Linked DNA regions of Drosophila melanogaster. The protein of the gene in region 1 interacts with the protein of each later gene in a pairwise test. Each region holds a gene or a part of one and is shown in the gene's direction. Other genes may lie near its edges. The genes, in order: Hakai, CG7763, Zif and obst-B.

The links.
Region 2: the proteins of Hakai (region 1) and CG7763 interact in a two-hybrid assay, tested with the Drosophila melanogaster proteins (one large-scale study listed by BioGRID).
Region 3: the proteins of Hakai (region 1) and Zif interact in a two-hybrid assay, tested with the Drosophila melanogaster proteins (one large-scale study listed by BioGRID).
Region 4: the proteins of Hakai (region 1) and obst-B interact in a two-hybrid assay, tested with the Drosophila melanogaster proteins (one large-scale study listed by BioGRID).

Annotation. Positions count from the first base shown.
Region 1 is NT_033779.5:19,580,058-19,584,107, reverse strand, and holds Hakai (hakai), read left to right. Parts: upstream 1-1,633; 5' UTR 1,634-1,737; coding exon 1,738-2,101; intron 2,102-2,204; coding exon 2,205-2,752; coding exon of another isoform or gene 2,753-2,776; exon of another isoform or gene 2,777-2,822; coding exon 2,823-3,332; 3' UTR 3,333-3,496; downstream 3,497-4,050. Other genes in the region: PCNA2 (proliferating cell nuclear antigen 2), read left to right, coding at 181-288, 423-1,082; Pmvk (phosphomevalonate kinase), read left to right, coding at 3,978-4,050.
Region 2 is NT_033778.4:11,412,672-11,415,992, forward strand, and holds CG7763 (uncharacterized protein), read left to right. Parts: upstream 1-1,838; 5' UTR 1,839-1,884; coding exon 1,885-1,953; intron 1,954-2,014; coding exon 2,015-2,644; 3' UTR 2,645-2,791; downstream 2,792-3,321. Other genes in the region: drip, read right to left, coding at 1-314.
Region 3 is NT_033777.3:6,455,162-6,459,364, forward strand, and holds Zif (Zinc-finger protein), read left to right. Parts: upstream 1-1,926; 5' UTR 1,927-1,995; exon of another isoform or gene 1,996-2,055; 5' UTR 2,056-2,125; coding exon 2,126-2,269; intron 2,270-2,331; coding exon 2,332-2,948; intron 2,949-3,005; coding exon 3,006-3,140; intron 3,141-3,241; coding exon 3,242-3,512; 3' UTR 3,513-3,661; downstream 3,662-4,203. Other genes in the region: CG9727 (uncharacterized protein), read right to left, coding at 1-33, 97-860.
Region 4 is NT_033779.5:10,030,894-10,038,734, forward strand, and holds the start of obst-B (obstructor-B), read left to right. Parts: upstream 1-1,796; 5' UTR 1,797-1,846; intron 1,847-1,995; 5' UTR 1,996-1,999; coding exon 2,000-2,060; intron 2,061-5,924; coding exon 5,925-6,180; intron 6,181-6,267; coding exon 6,268-6,386; intron 6,387-7,324; coding exon 7,325-7,721; intron 7,722-7,799; coding exon 7,800-7,841.

The DNA of each region.
Region 1 (4,050 bases):
TCATCAGACATCAAATGAACTTAAATCCGCAACCGAAACTAATCTAACAAGCTTTGTTCTTAACTCCGCAGCAGTCCGGCATCTCTACACTTGCAGCGAAACAGCTGACTGGCTTCATTTTGTTTGTTTCCAATTGTGAATTTAACGGGACAGCGATTGTCAATTTTGAAAATTGGAAAAATGCTCGAGGCGCGTTTGAGTCAGACTTTGCTGCTGAAGAAGATCGTCGATGCACTAAAGGAAATCATCGCCCAGGGAACGCTGGACTGCAGTGAAAATGGTCTGGAGGTGAAGAGAATAACCCTCCATCTGTCATTTTGTTTCGAATTCCCATAAAAGCTGTTAAGTAGTTCCATTGAGACTTGGGACTGAAAATGAAAAGTTGAGATAAGAAATAAAGCTTTTACAACTCTATATTCCAGCTGCAATCGATGGACAACTCCCACGTTTCGCTGGTGGCCCTAAGTCTGGCTTCGGATTGTTTTGAAAAGTTTCACTGCGATCGCAATGTCTCGCTGGGCTTGGATCTGAAATCCCTGGGCAAGGTGCTTAAGTGCGCCAATAGCGACGATGCGGTCACCATTAAGGCCGTTGACAGACCGGAGAAGATTACGCTCAGCTTCGAGTCGGATGGCAAGGAGCGCACGGCGGACTACGAGCTGAAGCTCCTCAATCTGGACCAGGATCACATGGAGATTCCGAAAAAGGACTACACCTGCTTCATCCAGTTGCCGTCGTCAGAGTTCGCGCGCATTTGCCGGGACATGAGCATGTTCGACGAGTCCCTGACGATCGCCTGCTCCTCGAAGGGCATCAGGTTCTTGGCCAAGGGAGATCTGGGCACGGCCAACATTCAGCTGAGTGCGGGCACCGCCATGGACGTGAGCATTGAGGTGCAGGAGCCCGTGACCCAGTCCTTCGCCGGTCGCTACCTCAACACCTTCACCAAGGCCACTCCGCTGGCAGATCGCGTCAAGCTCTACCTGTCCGACGAGCGGCCACTCCTGGTGGAGTATCCCATCGAGGATTACGGCCACATTCGATACTACCTTGCACCCAAGGTGAATGACCCCGATTTCTAGCTGAAGAACTACTCAACTCAGTTATTGCATAAATTCGAGCGCAATTTAAAGCATAAGGAAAGGGGATAAACGATATTTTTAGGCAACAAATACCAAAAATCATTTTTTTTAAAGCATAGTATAAAAATATAACTTGTAATAAAAACTATTTAATTGTAATTAAAAAAACATTTTACAAATTCAAATTTATATACGAAAAAACTAATTTTAAACCTTGTTATTAATTATTATTAAGTTTTTAAGGTTATCTTAATGTAGATCTCACATTTTCTATTCAGAATACTTTTGTTTTTTCATGTTGAAGCTACAAAAGAAATTAGTAAGCTATTAATATGATACAAGAACGGTTAAATAGATGCTTATAATTATTGTTTTTTTTTATGTTTTTTTTTACATTCATTAAATTCAAATTAGTTTAAAAATAATTGAAAAACAGATAAAATTAAAATTAAACAAGTAAAAATATTGTATTTTAAACTGACCAGTGATGCCGGACCTTTTGATGGCCAGTGTTGTTAGGCGCAGACTGGTCACCCTAAGTTACTGCACGTATGTGGGAACAGCTGACAACCCTGGCCAAACGCAAATGCGGAGCTAAACAAAAACCGAAAAACTTAAAAACCGGCATAAAATCCCACGCAAGTACAAGTGAACAATGGACACCGAGGAAGTGAAGCGCGGCCGCGGACGAGGGCGTGGCACCAGGGCTCGCGGGCGCGGACGTGGCCGAGGACGCGGTCGTGGCAAGAAAATCGACGACAGCAGCATCGCCGACGCCGCAGCCCTGGCGGCCAGCAGCTGTGCAGCCCTGGAGGACAGTCCGGGAAGACTGGACGCCTCCGAAGATTCGGTCATGCAGGAGCTCGACAAGGACGGCGAACTGGAAACGCCCGGCGCTCTGGAGGAGCCCCTGCCGCACGGTGCGCTAGGAGCGGTCGCCGCCAGCGGGAACATGACTCCAGCGACGCAACAGCCACAGGTCCTGCAGCAAGTGCCACCGCCCGTGATGAGCCAAACAAGTGAGTCTCCTCCCCTATTGAATGGTTGTCCAAGATAGTTAAATTGATTAACATCTTGGCTTGACCAATTCCTTGGTATCCAAACTTGAAGCATTGAACAAAGCTATCTCGCTATCTCTCGCCCGCGCAGTCGACATGGAGGCGGACATATCGCAACTGGAGGCGCCCACTTTCACCACGCTTTCGCGCGGACCGCCGGAGCCGATGCTGCGCCTTAAGTGGAACCACAAGGTGAGCCTGATCGGCGAGAAGGTGCTGAACCCGATGATCCACTGCTGCGATCAGTGCGACAAGCCGATCCTCGTCTACGGCCGCATGATACCCTGCAAGCATGTATTTTGCCTCAAGTGCGCCCGCGCCGAGCCCATCAAGAGTTGTCCCCGCTGCACGGACAAGGTGTTGCGCGTGGAGCAGAGTGGCCTGGGCACCGTGTTCATGTGCACGCACGGCGGCAGTCGCTACGGCAGCTCCGGCTGCCGTAGAACATACCTTTCGCAACGCGACCTGCAGGCGCACATCAATCACAGACATGTGGCGCCGCAGCCGCCACCGTTGCAGCCACAGCCGCAGCTGTCAGCCATGGCGGAGCAGCCAAAAATGACGGATCTGGGCGGCGTCGGTCTGGGCCTGGAGTTGCACAAGCAGCGCAAGGCGAGTGGTAGCTATGGCTCCTAAACTAAGCTGTCCTGTCTATAAAAAAACAACCGCTTGCCCCTTGCAGCTCTCCGAGTCGTCTGTCCCCATATCCGTTTCCGCCTCCATTGCGTCCCGTCCCGTCCTGTCGCGGCTGCCACTGACCGGCGGTGTCGGTAACATCGGTAGTATTGGTAGTATACCGCCACCAGGATCCGCCGCCGCCGCCCAAAACGCCATCCACGGCGGCCACTCGACGCTCACGCTGGCCAATTTGACCAGGATCAACAATGCCAATGCGCAGGAATGTCACCAGGGCAAGGCCTCGCTGCACCACACGCTCAAGAAGGGCACGCCCCACCAGTCCGAGTCGGTGGCGGATGCCTCCTACTACAGCAGCGTGCTCGCCTCCTTTGGCAGTGCGGCCGGGAATCCGGGTTCTGGGCCACCCGGCGGTGGGGCAACAGCAGCAGCACAGCCCGCCAATCCGAGTGGCAGCCATTCCGCTGTTGGCCCAGGTGCCCTGATTGGAGGCTCCACCGACGCGCCAACTGGTGGCTCGAGTGGCAACTGGCAGCAGTCGCAATACTACAGATAGGGGGACGAAAGCGAGGGGCTAGTAACCAGGGTAGACGCTTTAACGCAGGCACGCAGGCTTTTAATTAAGTGAACAAGTGTATGTTAAGCTGAACTGAACACTATTAAAGATATTTTACGGGGTTAGGCCAACCCGAACCAAAAAATAAATGCTACTCCGGTTTTAAAGCTTGGGCTAAACTTAATTCTTAATGTAGTAGTGAAGTGGTTATCGTGGCGAACAAATCAGGATAACAATTTTATGAATACCTTTGCGGTTCTCAAGCTGAACGAAATTCAAAAATCCCGCCCGATTGGCGGCCAATCGATGACGGTACGGTTTCCACTCGAGCTGAATGAAATTCAAAAAGCCCGCTCGATTGGCCGCCTATCGATGACGATACGCTCCAGCTGGTTGCTGTTCCAGCGAAATACAAAAGGTAAACAAATGCGACTTGGAGCACAGACTTCGAATGGAGCATTAGCATAAACACAACAGGCCGCAGTGCCGGAGTCAAGTGGCAGGGCCCAGGGTGAACACAACCACATCCAGTATCTGATGAGCACAGCGTAGAACTTAGGAAATCGAGGCCACAAGCAGAAGCAGCAGGAGAAGCAGCGGTTGTGAAAGAAGTTGGCGAGCAAAAGTGAAAGTTGCGCCAGAAAAATGATGAAAATTGTACTCATCAGCGGCAAGCGAAAGTGCGGCAAGGATTACATATCCGAGAGGCTGCAGCGGA
Region 2 (3,321 bases), on another chromosome or scaffold:
AGTGGCGCTGATCCCTTGATATCCTGGCGTCCAGGATCCGAAACAGCCTTGACCACGAAAACCAAAATAAAGGTGATCAGCGCTTCGATCAGCACCGCCTGTGCACAGTTCAGGGAGGGATCAAAGGAGGATACTCCCAGGTCGCCACCAGCCACTCCATCGAGTGCCACCTTTATCACAGCCGCTCCAGCAATGGCGCCCACGCATTGGACGATGATGTAGAAGGCAGCCTTCAGAATGCTGATCTCACCAACGATCAGGAATCCAAGGGTGACCGCCGGATTAATGTGACAGCCACTGAGGTGGCCCAAGCCCTGAGAGAGAGAACAAAATAAGAGGATATTCAAGAATATATTTATTATAAGGCTCAATAAAAGAGGAAAAAAAGTATGAAGATCAAATCAAGGAGGCTAAGGCCCAGTCGAACATAATGTAGATAATGGCCTATCTCCACCTCCATCGGCGCTTGCAAATGTCGAGTTGACAACGCAACATCTTAACCATAGCTGCGCTCAAAGTTTGCCCTTTGCCATGAAGCTGATTGTGCGATTTTCCGAATTTTCCATTGCACAATATCGTTGCATATCGAACTGCCAGCGGATACAAGCAATTTGTCAGACGTGAGATGCACTCGAGTGCATTTATTGTGTTTAGCGTGTCTGCAAAGTTCAGGTGGAGCTGGCTGGGAAGTAAAAGTGATTCGGGGTTCTGTTGAGTCATTGCCCGTGAAGAGATCACATGGAATCACTTAAATGGAAATCGCATTGGATCGGATCGCCTCGCATCGCATCGCATCGTATTGGATTGGATTGGATTGGATCAAGTGTTATGAATGGAGCCCGAAATGCACTGTTCACTCTGCGCCCAAGGTCGATGTGCAGGCTTCTATGTTTGATATCTCTTTCCAGCCGTGTTTCTCTACGTTTTGGTGATACGAATTCGATTTCGATATGGATTTCGCGGTTCGCAGTTCGCATTGGACGCACGGCCAATGTCGTGCGTCGCTGTGCGTTTAATTAATAAATGCGCAAAAAAGAAAAAAACAAAAAAAAATGCCCGTGTGTTGGCTGTTCGGCCACAAAACGCTAATTACAAATGCCGCCAAGAGCAAGTTCGAGTCGCGTTTTGCGGCCCAAACGGCAATAGGCCACAAATCCGAGCAGCCACTACAACTCGAACAACTTCTTGACATTTTGGTTATGCGCATGCGTGCAGCGCAATTTCGACTTCGTCTATACTAAGACTAAGTTGCCGCCTTTGCTGCCGCCACTCAGCCTGACCTAATCGTTTGGATCTAAAGCTTTTAGCCACAATAGTTTAGGCCTATTGTTCTCGACTCAATGCCTCCACTCGTCTTAGCTGCACACACTCGAAGAGTCGTGAAATTAATCAAATTTATTGTCGAGCCCGAAACCCATAATTAAATTTAATATATGCAACGAAAGCAATCGAGATCGACAGACCGGCTGCGTGTGAAAACCGCGAATGACGGACTGACTGAACTTAGACGTGAGTCATCGATGAAATATGGCTCTAATCGAGTTAGGCCTATGTGATTACGCTACGAGTTTATTACGCATTTCGAATGGGTTAATTACACTATGTGACTTTTTAGTTCTAAGCCGATCTAATTAAAAAATGTTAAATATATTTTTAATTTTTATGAATTATGAATTGCATTATGTTTTTCTGTGTATGCAGATAACTATACCCACATGCTGTGCAGAGCGATAAGTCGTACATAGTACCTATCTCTTATCATCATGCAGCGTCAGATTTTCTGTTTCTTTCTTTATTGGATTTCTTTCTAATATACTTGGTTTCGAAGCATTTAAGTCAGTCTGTTTTTGGCACTCGGATTTAAAAGATCTCAGAATCGCAGCAATGCAAAAATCTATTATATTTTTGGTACTCCCGTTGTGTCTGAGTTCAAGTTATTCAGCAGCCTGCGAGGTGAGTGAAGTAGAGAAGTGGTTTAGAAATGCTAAATATTTACATTCACATATCTTCTTAGGGCGTTGAAAGCGATTCCCAATGTGCTGCATATTGCTACGGTGTCTTGAATCCCTGCATCGCGAGCATGGGCAATTTGCAACGAAGGGTTGAAGCCTGTGAAGCAGCTGTTGCAATAGCGAGAATAGCCCTAAATGACCGAAGACTGGACAATTTTGGCACTTCAACGAACTTGCAGCTGGAAAATCAAAATACTTCGCAACAACTGCTGACACACGGTACAGCAATGGGCAGAAAACTGGAAGAAAACGAAATTTTCCAACAACTGGGAAGCAAATACTACTACATCGAAAAGGAAGAGAAGCTAAACTGGCACGATGCTTTGGATAAATGCCACAAAATGGGTGGCCATCTGGCCAGTCTGCAAAGTCAGGAGGAATTGGATAGATTCAATAACCAACTTAATGGCCTGAATCGCTACTGGATCGACGTGACCAATCAGTTCAACGAAAGTGAATTCGTTTCTGTGACCAAAGGATCGAAGGCCAATTTTTTGAGTTGGGCCGATGGGGAACCCACAAAAGATGGAGAGTGTGTGGATATCCGAACATTCAATGGGAAAACTACCATGAACGATAACTCATGTTTTGCCAATCTCTATTTTATTTGCGAAAAATCTATTGAAATATAATACAAAAATATTTATCTCTTTGAAGTTAATATTAGTTTTTGATATCTGACATTTACCACATGGTTTATGGAGGAAATAAGTATAATGTTTATTTCAAAACGAACAAGTTGGAATAAGACTTTATTTACGAATATACATATAATCCTATATGAATTGACCACTATTTCATTATTTTGTGTCAGCACTCTCCGTGCTCTCAAGGTTTTCCATTGGCTACAAAAAGTCTGGCAAGACTCTTCCCCCGATCGAGATATATAAGTTAAGAACCCTCTTCTTGCGCTCTTCGTCAGGACTCACCAGCGCTCGGCTCTCGTGTTTTCGGGCCCCGTCAGCAGGCGACTCGGGGCCTGTCTAGTAACATGTTCGTGTAAGTTACGAACCCTCTTCTTGCGATCTTCGTCAGGACTCACCAGCGCTCGGCTCTCGTGTTTTCGGGCCCCGTCAGCAGGCGACTCGGGGCCTGTCTAGGAACATGTTTGTGTATGTGTGCATTCGGAACAAGTGCCGTTGGTCGCACTCAGGGTGAGGGGTCAACGGGGGAAGCGGATATAAAAGCAGCGGGGCGGGAGAAGAGGCCCCAGTGTCGAACGGACACATAACGGAACCGCTAGCAGATCGCGAACTGAATCTTAAAATAAAGCTAATCGTAAACTCGAACCCTCTTAACTATCTTGACT
Region 3 (4,203 bases), on another chromosome or scaffold:
AGAATCTGTGAAATCTGCAGCTTCGCATTGTCGCTGAACGGGAAGACGCACACAAATTAGCAAGGATAAACATAGGATTCTTCAAACAACACTTACTCCAAGCTGGTCTCAATCACCTGCAGCACCCTTCTCATCTTCTCCTCACTGGGAACTGATCCCGCTGAGTTGGAGTTGCTCAAAGCATTCATTACGTTTTCAGCAATGGTGGAGTTTATCACTCCACTGGCCGCTGGAACGCCCTCGTTCGGATGCCGTGGACCAGCTATTGTTGGGGTCGAAGGAGCAGCTGTCGCTGGAGTCGTGGTGACTGGTACTGGCGCCGATGGCACTCCCGCAGTAGCTCCGCCCATAGCGTGCATGATCTTGCCCAGACCCAGTTGCTGGGCTGTGCTAAAGCTGAAGGCATTGGCAAAGGCCAGGCCAGCAGCATTTGCACTCGCCGTGGCAAAGGGATTCGGAGTAAGTACGGAAGTGGAGACACCTCCACTGGCGCTGGTGGCATTGGAAAACGGAGGCGGCACAAAGCCGCTGGGCGTGGCTACAGGTACAGGTACATGGGTGTGACTCGTGGGCGAGATCTGGGCAGAGGCAGGTGCTCCGCCGACAGGGCCCACGGGCGTAATGGTCAAAGGAGAGCCCTTTGCATGGATAGCAGGTCCTTGAAATCTGGTTGCGCTGTAGACTATATCCGCGGGCTGTAGGCTGCAGTTCCCATAGGGATTGGCGTTGGGTTTCTGGAGGGGTAGTGCCACAGGGATCGGTTGAGGTATGGGAATGGAATTGGAGACTGGTGCTGTTGTTGCTGCTGGCGCCGCTGATTTCGTCCACTGCGCACCCAGCTGGCCGTGCTTCTCGGACATGTTAGGTGCTAGTGCTAGCGGCGCCTCCGTTTCCCTCCGCCTGCTGCTGCTCCCTCGTTGTTTTCTGCCTGCTGTGGTTTCTGGCCAAGATTAAGGGCGCTTCCGCTGCCAGGTTACGTAGGTGGCTGCCTGTGTGAGTGCTGGACTGCGTTCTATTGAGTGTGTGTGTGCCTTAGGAGATGGAGATTGCCGAGTCGATAACTGGCGCGACGAACATTTTGACGGCTGCGACGGACGAAGATACGGATGCCAGATATAGTTGCTTTCCCATTTTCCCGTCAGGCGGGAGTGCGCTGGGCGTGGGACGTGAAAGTGCGTGGCGTTCTTTACTGCCAACGAGCATGCGATTTTCCCAGATACGCACCGATTGAACCGAAATAATCCATTTTTTAACGAGAGATAAGAAAATATCTTGCGTTCTGCGTCTCGAAAAATATGTGGCGTTGCCAGACGGCTGCATTAAGAAATGTGCTTTTTTTGCCAGAGCTTTCGGATGTAAACACGGTGTTGTATTTGCGATTTCGCATAAATAAATGAGTAAATTACTAATAATTTGTATATAATTTGCAGATTCACCTTACGCAATGTTAGCTTGTATATGATAAACATGCAACGCTAGTCTTTTAGTGATCTTGCTGTCATCGTTATCGCCACTGGTCAAAAAAATGAGCCATAGAGAACTGGTTCCTAGCTAAATTAAATCTTTGGTGAGATGTATTGTCAGTATTGGACATAATATTTTCTATTGATAAGGCAAATTTAAGCGCATTAGGCCTTTTTTTAAATAATATTTAATGTAAGACGTTGGTATTTTTATGATTGAATTCTTTACTCTATCTAAATATACGTAAATATGAAAGAAATATATAAATATATATATAATTGTTTTCATAATATTTGAATATTTGAAGTATTAATATTTTCTTTCTCATTTTACAAGTTGTTTGTGTTTATAGGCACACTGGGGAATACTTTCAGTTATCATATCATATCGTTTAGCCATGGTTAAAGGAACAAATATTTCCAATGTATTGTCACAAGCAGCAAACATGTTTATCAGATATTTAACCAAAAATCCGCTTCCCGGAACCAGCAAAATGAACCACATCGTGTTCGCCGATGCTATGCAGCCCTGGTAAGGAAAATGGCGATGTCTTTTCGTTTCTTTTTTCAGTCGCTTTACACAACACTTTAGCAACACAAATTTTAACACTACAATACTACGCGAGCGGTTCTTTAAATTAAATTTCGAGCAGGATTCCAGAATGCGCGTCGAGCTTACCCCACAGACGTGCCGGGTCTGCCTGGCGCAGAGTGAGCGACTGCAGCGCCTAGACGAGATCCGCGAGGAAGGCGAGGAATCGCCGAACGAGATGTTGATTCAACTTTTGGGAGTCTCATACAGCAATGTAAGTGAATCGCTAGAGCTGGCAATGCGAACTGACCATTCATCCATCCATCCCTCATGCAGCTGAACGACAGAGAACACATACCCGATGGCATCTGCAAGTCCTGCAAGGTCGAACTCAACATGGCCTACCAGTTTCGCGAGAAGGCGCTGCGCAAGCAGATGGAGATTGAGGAGTACTGCCGGGAACTGGGCTTGCTGGACGAATCAGATGTGATGATGATCAAGGAGGAGGACGGCTCGCAGCAGCAATGCGACGAGGAGATGTACATCCTGGAGGAGACCACCACCGGGGAAGAGGAGCACCAGGAAGAAAAGGGGCACGAGGAGTACTTGGAAGTGGACACCAGCGATCAGCAGGAGTGCATTGGCGACACCATCGAGTACTTGGAGGACAACTACACCATCGAGATGAACTCCGATCAGACCGAGATCGTCCTGGAGTCTGAGAAGCAGTACGAAGAGACACCATCGCAGCAGTTGGCGCTGCAGGAGGCGGCCAAGGCAAGCCTGAAGGCGCGGCGCGGCCGGGTTCGTCGCGGATTAAACTCCCTAACAACATCGGACGGCACTGAGAAGGGTGGCTATATCTGCGACGTCTGCGGAAACTTTTACGAAAAGCGCGGCCGGATGATGGAGCATCGCAGACGCCATGACGGCATCTGCCAATATGCATGCGAGTAAGTCGAGTCGGTAAATTTCATATTAAAGCGATAACCCTAATCCCGCCTTCACAGACTATGCGATGCCAAGTTCCAGGTGCGCGAGCAACTGAGGAAGCACATGTACTCCCACACGGGCAGCAAACCCTATAAGTGCAGCTTCTGCAGTCGTCAATTCTTCTACGAAAGTGTTCTCAAGTCTCATGAAAAGTGAGTAGAAATGTTATTCTCACGGAGAGGCCTCAAAATGGGCCATTTAAATATATTCCTAGTTCGGGACAGAGATAACTAACTTTTCTTTTTCCGATCAGTGTTCACCGTGGCATCAAGCCCTACGTGTGCAAGGTGTGCGACAAAGCGTTTGCCTACGCTCACTCCCTGACCAAGCACGAGCTCATCCACTCGGACATCAAACTGTACCGCTGCGATTATTGCAACAAGGACTTCCGTCTGCTGCATCACATGCGCCAGCACGAGGAGACCAAACTGCACCAGAACGCCGTAATGCTGGCCGAGAGCATGAAGGTGGAAATGGTGGCCGAGCAGGGGGGCGGGAACGAGATCCGAATTCAAGCTCACTGACGCAATCAAATTCAGTAGAGTATACTGTCTTATTTCCAGATATAATCCCTTATAATCAGTAATACTAGCTTAAACGCTAACGGATAGCGTATTCATAGTTGTAAGAATGAACTTCATACGTAAATAAAGGTTATTTTTGTTAAAAATAGAATATCAAACGTATGTGATGTTTTAGCAGCATGTGGAATTTGGTTCATAAAATTAATTTATTTGATAATTTGAATACATACAATACAATACAATACAATTTGAAATGTAACACGCCCGAGAAAATCTGGCAATCTAGTTGTACGCTAGTTGGTAAAAGTCACAACTGGCCGTAGTTATTTCCACAATCAATGTTCGCAATGTGTGTGCGCGGGAAGCTATGCTGAAAATTATGCAATAAATATGGGTGGCTTCATGACGCCGTGGGTATATAAAATGAAATTGGAAAAAACCCAATTTGCACCTAGCGCATGCAAAGCACCAACAAATGTACAATATCAAAGGAAGTTCCGAAATTACATGACTTGAATGCGTTTTTTTTTTTCATTGGCCGCTTGTCTCCTTTTTTGAACTCCCCCGTGTATCATATCATCATTTTAGCGGAAACAAAAAATGTTCTTATGGACTGGTAAAGCCTTTCGGCCCCTGGGGCTTTGTATTTGATTACGGGTGGTGATACACTGCAAGCAAAGCTGGGTACAAT
Region 4 (7,841 bases), 9.5 Mb from region 1:
ACTACGGACCACAGACAGCGGACAGCGGACAGCGGATTTCGGACGGACAGCGCATCAGTGGAGCGTAAAGGACCTGGGATCTGAGAACAAAAAACGGGAATTTCCGCAAGCGCAACGTTTTAATTTGACTCTTGATTGTTATGCCATTGTTGCCTAGCATTGTGCATTCCGCATTCTACACTCGACATTCGGCGCCCTTAACTCTGTGTGGGCTCTTTGTGTAATCGCCGCTAATGCGCCCGAAATTGTGCTAAACGATTTTCATTCTGAGGGCCTCCAATCCTCCAAACCACCAACCTCCACCCCATTTCCGCCCACCAATTTTCGAGACTCCCGGACCGCGGGCTATTAAGCAACTGTGGGCTGTGCGTTACAATAACCATGTTTTAAAGCCCCGCGGGGAAATGGTGATGCTATTTTTCTGACTTATCGCAGGATTATGAATCGTGGGACATTTGCCTTGACTGTGGCCATTGTGATTTGCATTTGCACGCAACATTTGTTAAATTTCTATCGTCATGTATGTCATTTCACTTAATTATGCCATTTACTTTGCATACAAAGCTGCCATAAGTTTGCTACCAAATTCTTGGACAAATTTTTCAGGAAAAGGGCGAGGCATTTTTCCAGCACAGAACAATTTGTCACAATTATTGCACACGAAATGACAGGCAGATGAAAACCAAGCAGCTGGAAAACAAGCTCCGGCTCCGGAAAAGTCGACTCCAAGTAGGCGAGCCGCAACTTTGACAAGTTAAATGTGTTTTGGGCCTGCACAATGATGCAGCAAATGCTCGCTCGGAATATTCAGGAGCAGGAGTAGGAAAAGGAGGAGTACGAGTGGGAGCAGGACGAGCCAGCCACCTGCATGGGCAAACGTGTCCGAAATTTTGTCATATTTTTTGGTTAATTTCAAAAATGCAAATCATCGATGTCCTGGCCGACATCGGAGCACGTCCTGTCGCCTTTTTTGACAAATTTGCCAGCACTGCTCGTGCGGCAATGTGCTCGTTACAAACTTTCTGTGGTGTAGAATATCATGGATCCGGTGGGCTTTGCACTTTGCCATCCTGCAAAACCCGTGCCAGCCGATGTCGATCGTTATGTTTTCCATGGACATGGAGGAGGCCGCTCATTTGTTTGCAGCTTATTCGCATAGTTGATGTTGGTTTGCTGCATGGTTCAGAGGGCCATGGCTTCACTGGGCCATGTTATGCAAAGTTAGCATTTCCATTTCCTGCCTTTGTTTGCGCATCCCTTGGTTAGTTTAGGCCACAGTTGTCCTTCCTACGCAACTAAAAATTTGATTATTTTTACTAACTAATTAGGACTGTGCGGGCTAAGCAGTTTATTTACCTTTCATTAAAGTTCTGAGTGCCTTTTGTGTTGTATTGATTAAGATGCTGCTTCTTTAAACAAGATAGTTACATATTTAAACTATCTTTTTTTATTTCATATACAATGATTTTGTTAGTTTTTGAGTACTTAAGATTATTAGGGTTTCCTCAAGCTGCTCTTAGTTACATTTTCATAGTTTTTAAATTGTTAAAAAGTTGATTGGTTCTTGAAACCTCACATTGGAAAACAATTTCGATGACCAATCGCGTTCGATTGTCTTTAACCATCGTCTTTAACCATCTGACATTAAGAGTCTGAAGCTTTTGAAAAAAGCTCGGACCGGTTTCTCTCCAAACTGCGCATGCGCAGCCATCTAACTGCAGTTCCAATGGAGCAGAGCGAAAGCAGACAAGGTGATGGAGACTTCTGGGCGTTAAAACTCATTGCCCGAGCGATCCGATCGCACAGTTGAGAGCGAGACGTAGACGCGTGCGCACGTACGAGTTTGGTGAGTTCCGATTTCTGCGAGTGTAGTACGATGAATGGTGAATCAAGTGAATGTGGAATGCGGAATGCTGCTCTTGAATGCCGTTTAATGTGCCGCCGGAAAGCATATCAATTTAAAATATTTAAATAATAATCTATCTGTTCGTGCAGGTTTATGTCGGCTAACGAAATGGCGCTTGTGAAAATCTGCATATTTGCTTTGGCTTTGGCCGTGGGTAAGTGTGGAAAAAGCTCTTAATTGCATTTGCCAATTAATGATACGTCAATACCATGGCGTGCAAAATGTCCCTGTGCAAACTCTATTTGAATAATGTGCCGTGACTTTAATGCTCTTCTGCTTTCGGCGAAAACAATCGCCTCTAATTGTTGGCCGCACCCAAACAAACGGGAACAAACCCACAGGCCAACCTAACTACAAACAACGCAACAAACAAACGAACGAACAAATAAACGAACCAACCAGGATAATAGCGACAAACAACCATATGCAAATGCAGAATGCACAGTGCTGCAGCAACTAAGCTGAAAAATATTGTTGTTAACATTATTGGCGCCCATGTTTATGCATATCTGCAGTGTTTGCAATCCTGGCCCTCTTTTCATCATGTCAACTGTTGTCCGATGATTCGATGGCATAGAACACGTGTAAATGCCACATGTAGCATATATGGCATATAGCACTTGCTGTTGTTGTTGCTGCCAATTTGCATGACTTTTGTTTTTCGGTTTTCATACCCTCATACGCTACTCATTGAGTAAAAAGGGTATACCAGATTCGATGCTCTCGGGAAATATAAAAGTTATGTTAAGTTATACAGAATACAGTGGAGACTTACGGGAGCGATTATGTTACTACCGCTAGGTGGAGCTCGTGTGAGCTCGAACGCTAGGTATCTGATAGTCGAGATACTCACCTATAGCGTTCTCTCGTGATTGGATCGGAATTACAGCTGCAAACCCATTGGCATTCCAATTGCAATTGGAAATTCGGCAATTTAATTTGCTGGCAAATTTTCTGCTCATTTATTGTGTGAAAGCTCATTAAAAATTTGTTTGTCTCCAATGTGCGGGGGCATTAAAAATGCACATTGTTAACTCGCCGGCATAAAAACATACATATTAAACAAATTGATAGGCGAGCAACTGTTGCACTCGGGGGGCGTAAGCTGAATTTGGTAATTATATTAAAATGTCTATGGCAAAAATATGGCAACAGCTCATAATTAAATGTATTGCAATTCGGTGCCGCCGGGGTTGAAAGCAAATTAAATTGCCAGTTAATTGAGGAAAAACTCACCGCGTTGAGACAAAGGAAAAGTTTTAATTTGATGGTAAACATGTTTGTACGAAAAGTTTATAATGTGTGTGTTTGCCTATCGAGACGAACACCTTTTTACCCCCTATTTTATAAAAATCTCTTACATCTAATTTAACAAACCGGTCGGTTCTATTGTCAATCTCGCATCAGTTCAGTGAATGACATGAAAAAGTGCTTACAATCTGTTTATTTTTAATCTATTTAATGTTCATTGAACCTAACACGCTGCCTGCACGCACTTTTCCAAGATGACAGCCACGACACCCACGACGTGTGTGACTGGAATCGAAAATCCAAAGATTCAAAGCTCCCAAAAAAAAACCGTATTGTAGCCACGACTCACTCCTCCGTCTGCTTTGCAATCGGCAGTCAATTAATCTAGTCTAACCGGACTGGGAATCGAGTCAAACGGTCCAGGACCGGGTTGAACCGGGTCTGTTGACAACGGTTGACTCCAACTCCAATTCCAACACCAATTCCAATTCCAATTCCTACTGCGACTGCAAACTCCATGGCAAACTTGTTGACAGACTGTCAGAGCGACGCGACGGCCCCCAACCAAGTCGACCAAGTTGACGAGTCGAAAAAAGCCAGGCCCAAACCGCATAGGCCACGCTTCGCTTGACTCGTTCGCCGGGCTGCGAAATAAAAAAAAAAAAAACGGAGGGTCATAAAAATGAAAGGAAAATACCTATTCAGGAGCAGGTCGTAAGGGAAATGCCCTTGGGGGAAAAGCCATTTCAGGCAATTATTAAAGAATGGCTGGGAAAAAGTGAATATTTGAAAGGATAAATATTATTCATTGTTTCATATCGAACAAATATTGTGGCACATTTTATTCGAAACTAAATTTAGTCTGCTTTGCTTTGCTATTTAAAGGCTGCAAGTGGTCCATAGTTTAAATTTAAGCCATTGAATAGTTTGAATGTTCATTTAGTTGAAATTTAACGCAACTAACCGAATCAGCTAACAATAATGTCTGTTAAAATCTACAATTATTTAATTAATTAGGACTTCGATTTTCATTTAAAGTGCTAAAATTAAGCCGAATAGCCAGCTCGAAAAAAAAGTTTTACAATAATGCAATTATGCATTTGGTTTGGTTTAACTTTAGTCGGTGAAAAAACGATGCTTTCAATTTGATAGCTCTCGAATAGGTGTGAATTTATAAAATTAAAAATCAATTAATAATATTAGAGGCATGTTCATACAGTTGTTTATGCAATTTCTTTGTTTTGAGAGTGTCTTTCATTGAACTCCTCCTGCGCAAGAGTATTTGCCAACTGAACTATGAAGCTTTCGTGACTTTTTCTTTTCCAGCTTCTTGTTTGGGTTGGGTATATATATTTTCTTTTTTTTGGTTTTTCACCAGATCCCGGTTCGTGTACGAAACATGTTTCAATGACAAGCGACAGCTGCAACACCCAACACTTGCAGCAGCAGCAGCAGCAGCAACTTGGTGTTGTTGGCTTAAATGTTGGCCGACACTTCACGCACTAATTGCTGTGTGGAATTGTTTCTTTATTAACGTTTAATCGAATGTCAGCCGAGCGACGTCAGCATCAGCAACTTGCTGGCGGCATTGTTGATGTTCACTGCGGCTGCCAAACGAAAATTGAAATCGTCTTTTCTTGTTTCTCTTGTATCGCTTGGCTTTTTACGTATCTACATATATAAAGTATATATATGTATATATATATTTTTTTTGCAATTTTGCTCGGTCTGATTGAAGTGGTTTACCTTGAGGAGAGCTCCACCATGTTAACTGGATGCATTTGCTGCATGTCGCATATCTTGAAAAATTTCTTGCAACTTGCAGGAAATGCTAATTGATACTGAGTTTTCAAGGCTGTGCTTTGGCATCAGCTGCTCGGCGGCTTAGATCAGCTGTTTGTGGATCCAAAACCGGGCTTTGTAATACCCGAGAGACTTTCACTTTTAAGGTCGCTCCAATCCAGTGGCCTGTGTCGCAATCGCAAAGCGACAACTCATATACATATCGGTTGCTATTTGTTGAGTTGCCGCAAACGGGTTTTCACGCAAACATAGTGGAAACGTTGGGCAAAAAACAAAAGGCAAAAACGTGCAAGATACACTTGGAAAAAAAATGCTGAGAAGTTATTACAATCACTTTAGAGTAGGTAAATTGCAGGAACCATGGATCAGTGGTTTGGGAATTTCTAATCCTAATCTAATCTTACAATATCCTAGTCATGAAATCAAAATATATCTTGAGTTTCAAAAGTTTACCGCCATTACATTGCTTAATATGCGAAAGCAATCTAAAAATCAATTACTCTTTCTAAAACAATCAACAGAGTAGCATTGTCAAAAGCTTCAACTAGATTAGATCCTGCAAATAAATTCACAAGCTTAGCAAAGTGTTTGCACTTGTGACAAATGAACATGAGAAATGTTGTTAAAATTCACACTCGATTAGGCGCATTTTGTTTAATAGATTAGCTTAGCATTTTATTGCCGAATGGTATAAGAATAATTGTGCGAAACTGTGGGGCTTTGCTGCAATTTAATAACGAAACTATCGAATTAAATGTAGAAAAAGGTTAAACACAGTTTAAAGTTTGATTTATATTTAAGTTGATAACAGCAATGTGTGCTATTTCATAAACTGGCCATTGCAGAGAGTTTCCATCAGCAAAGTAGATTAAAACTGCAAGCAAGGACATTTTGTGTGTGTGTGTGTTATTTATGTATGGACTGAGTTAACATGTGTATATCTCAACTATCTTCTGGTCTGCAGGTCTGACCGCAACCAAGGCGCAGGAGTCGAGAGGCGGTTTCCGTGGCAGTAACAGCCAGTTTCGCGTGGGTCCTGGCCATCCGCCCTCGCAGCGCCACCTGCCGCCCCGAAACCGTGATCCCGTCCAGGAGGCATCGGTGGTGCCAAAGAGCAAACAGACGGCGGCGGAGAAGGAGTACGAGCCCACCGAGGAGTGCCCGGAGCCCAATGGCTTCTATCCGGACAGCAAGCAGTGCGACAAGTACTACGCCTGCCTGTAAGTGACCAAAAGGAGTAGACACACCCGGCCACGGGGCGTATGAGTAATGGCCGTTGCTTAATGCCACATTGACCACATTTGCAGGGATGGTGTGCCCACGGAGCGACTGTGCGCCGATGGCATGGTCTTCAATGACTACTCACCCATCGAGGAGAAGTGCGATCTGCCCTACAACATTGACTGCATGAAGCGGAGCAAGCTACGTGAGTATAAGTCCTTAATTTGCAAGAACCGCTTTACGTATGCACCGCACAAATCCCAAGACCCCACCTATATATATATATATAGTATACATATATATGCTCCTCCATCTTCTGGGCCAAGAATCGGGCAATAAACGCGCTTCGTGCTCGCACTTATTTGCTCGTTACTTCTTGGCTGCGCTTTTTGTTAACTTATTTATTATGCAAACGGCATGCGCAGCGGTTAACCCAAATTGTTGTCGTCAATAGGTCTTTGGTCTTGGCGGTGCTTTGTTTTCATTTTTCGCCTCCTGAGTAGACTCAGTTTTATTCGTGATTTTATTATTTCCCCAACGCCAGAGTCGCGCCACCAAAAAATTTTAAGCCCAATGCCATGGCAATTGGCTTCCCGCGGTTTTAAACTTGCCACGAATTTGGTCTGCCACGTGTGTGTGTGTGGGAGTAGAGCATCCTTCAAACTTCTCGACAAAGGACTTTTATTAAAGTTCTCACGTTGAGAGTTTCTTGCACTAGCGCTAGTTCAAGTGGATTTAAGAAAATTTCTTATTCACTTAAAAAGTCGCACACATTTTGTGTGACCATTTTTAATATGAAATATTGCTGCACGTTTTAGTTTTTAAATAAATTATTTGCCACCCATCAAGGCAATTAGTACACATTGTGCAGGCCCATTAGCAATTTCAATTACCTTTGTCTCCTGTTGACATACATACATACATACATATAACGTTGCCATGGCATATATGCATATAGTTCGCAAAGCATACAGCACCTGAATAAATGTGTGTCTAGTACATTGTGCTGGCGCAGTAATGTATTTACGGATGTGCAAAAAGGGTTTTACGAGCATACAGATAGATAGATACCTTTTGCGAGGGAAACTCAAGGATGCACAGAGGGAATATTCCATTTGTAATTTCCCTATTGTTCAATCGCAGAAACACCTCAGCCATCGCTTCACTGTCCCCGGAAGAATGGATACTTTGGCCACGAGAAGCCAGGCATCTGCGATAAGTTCTACTTTTGCGTGGATGGTCAGTTCAATATGATTACCTGCCCGGCTGGACTGGTCTTCAATCCCAAGACGGGCATATGTGGCTGGCCTGACCAAGTGGGCGTCACTGGCTGCAAGTCGGAGGATGTCTTCGACTTTGAGTGCCCCAAGGTGAACGAGAGCATCGCAGTGACACATCCCCGCTACGCCGATCCCAACGATTGCCAGTTCTTCTACGTCTGCGTCAACGGAGATCTGCCCAGGCGAAACGGATGCAAACTGGGCCAGGTCTTCGACGAGGAGAAGGAGACCTGCGACTGGGCACGCAAGGTGCCAGATTGGTAAGCTATAGTTATCCCTAATATAAAGTACTATTGGGAATTTTATTCTTGGATTCTAATAACTACATCCCATTTCAGTGCCGACTGGTACAAGGATCGTCTGACCGACAAGGAGCTGGA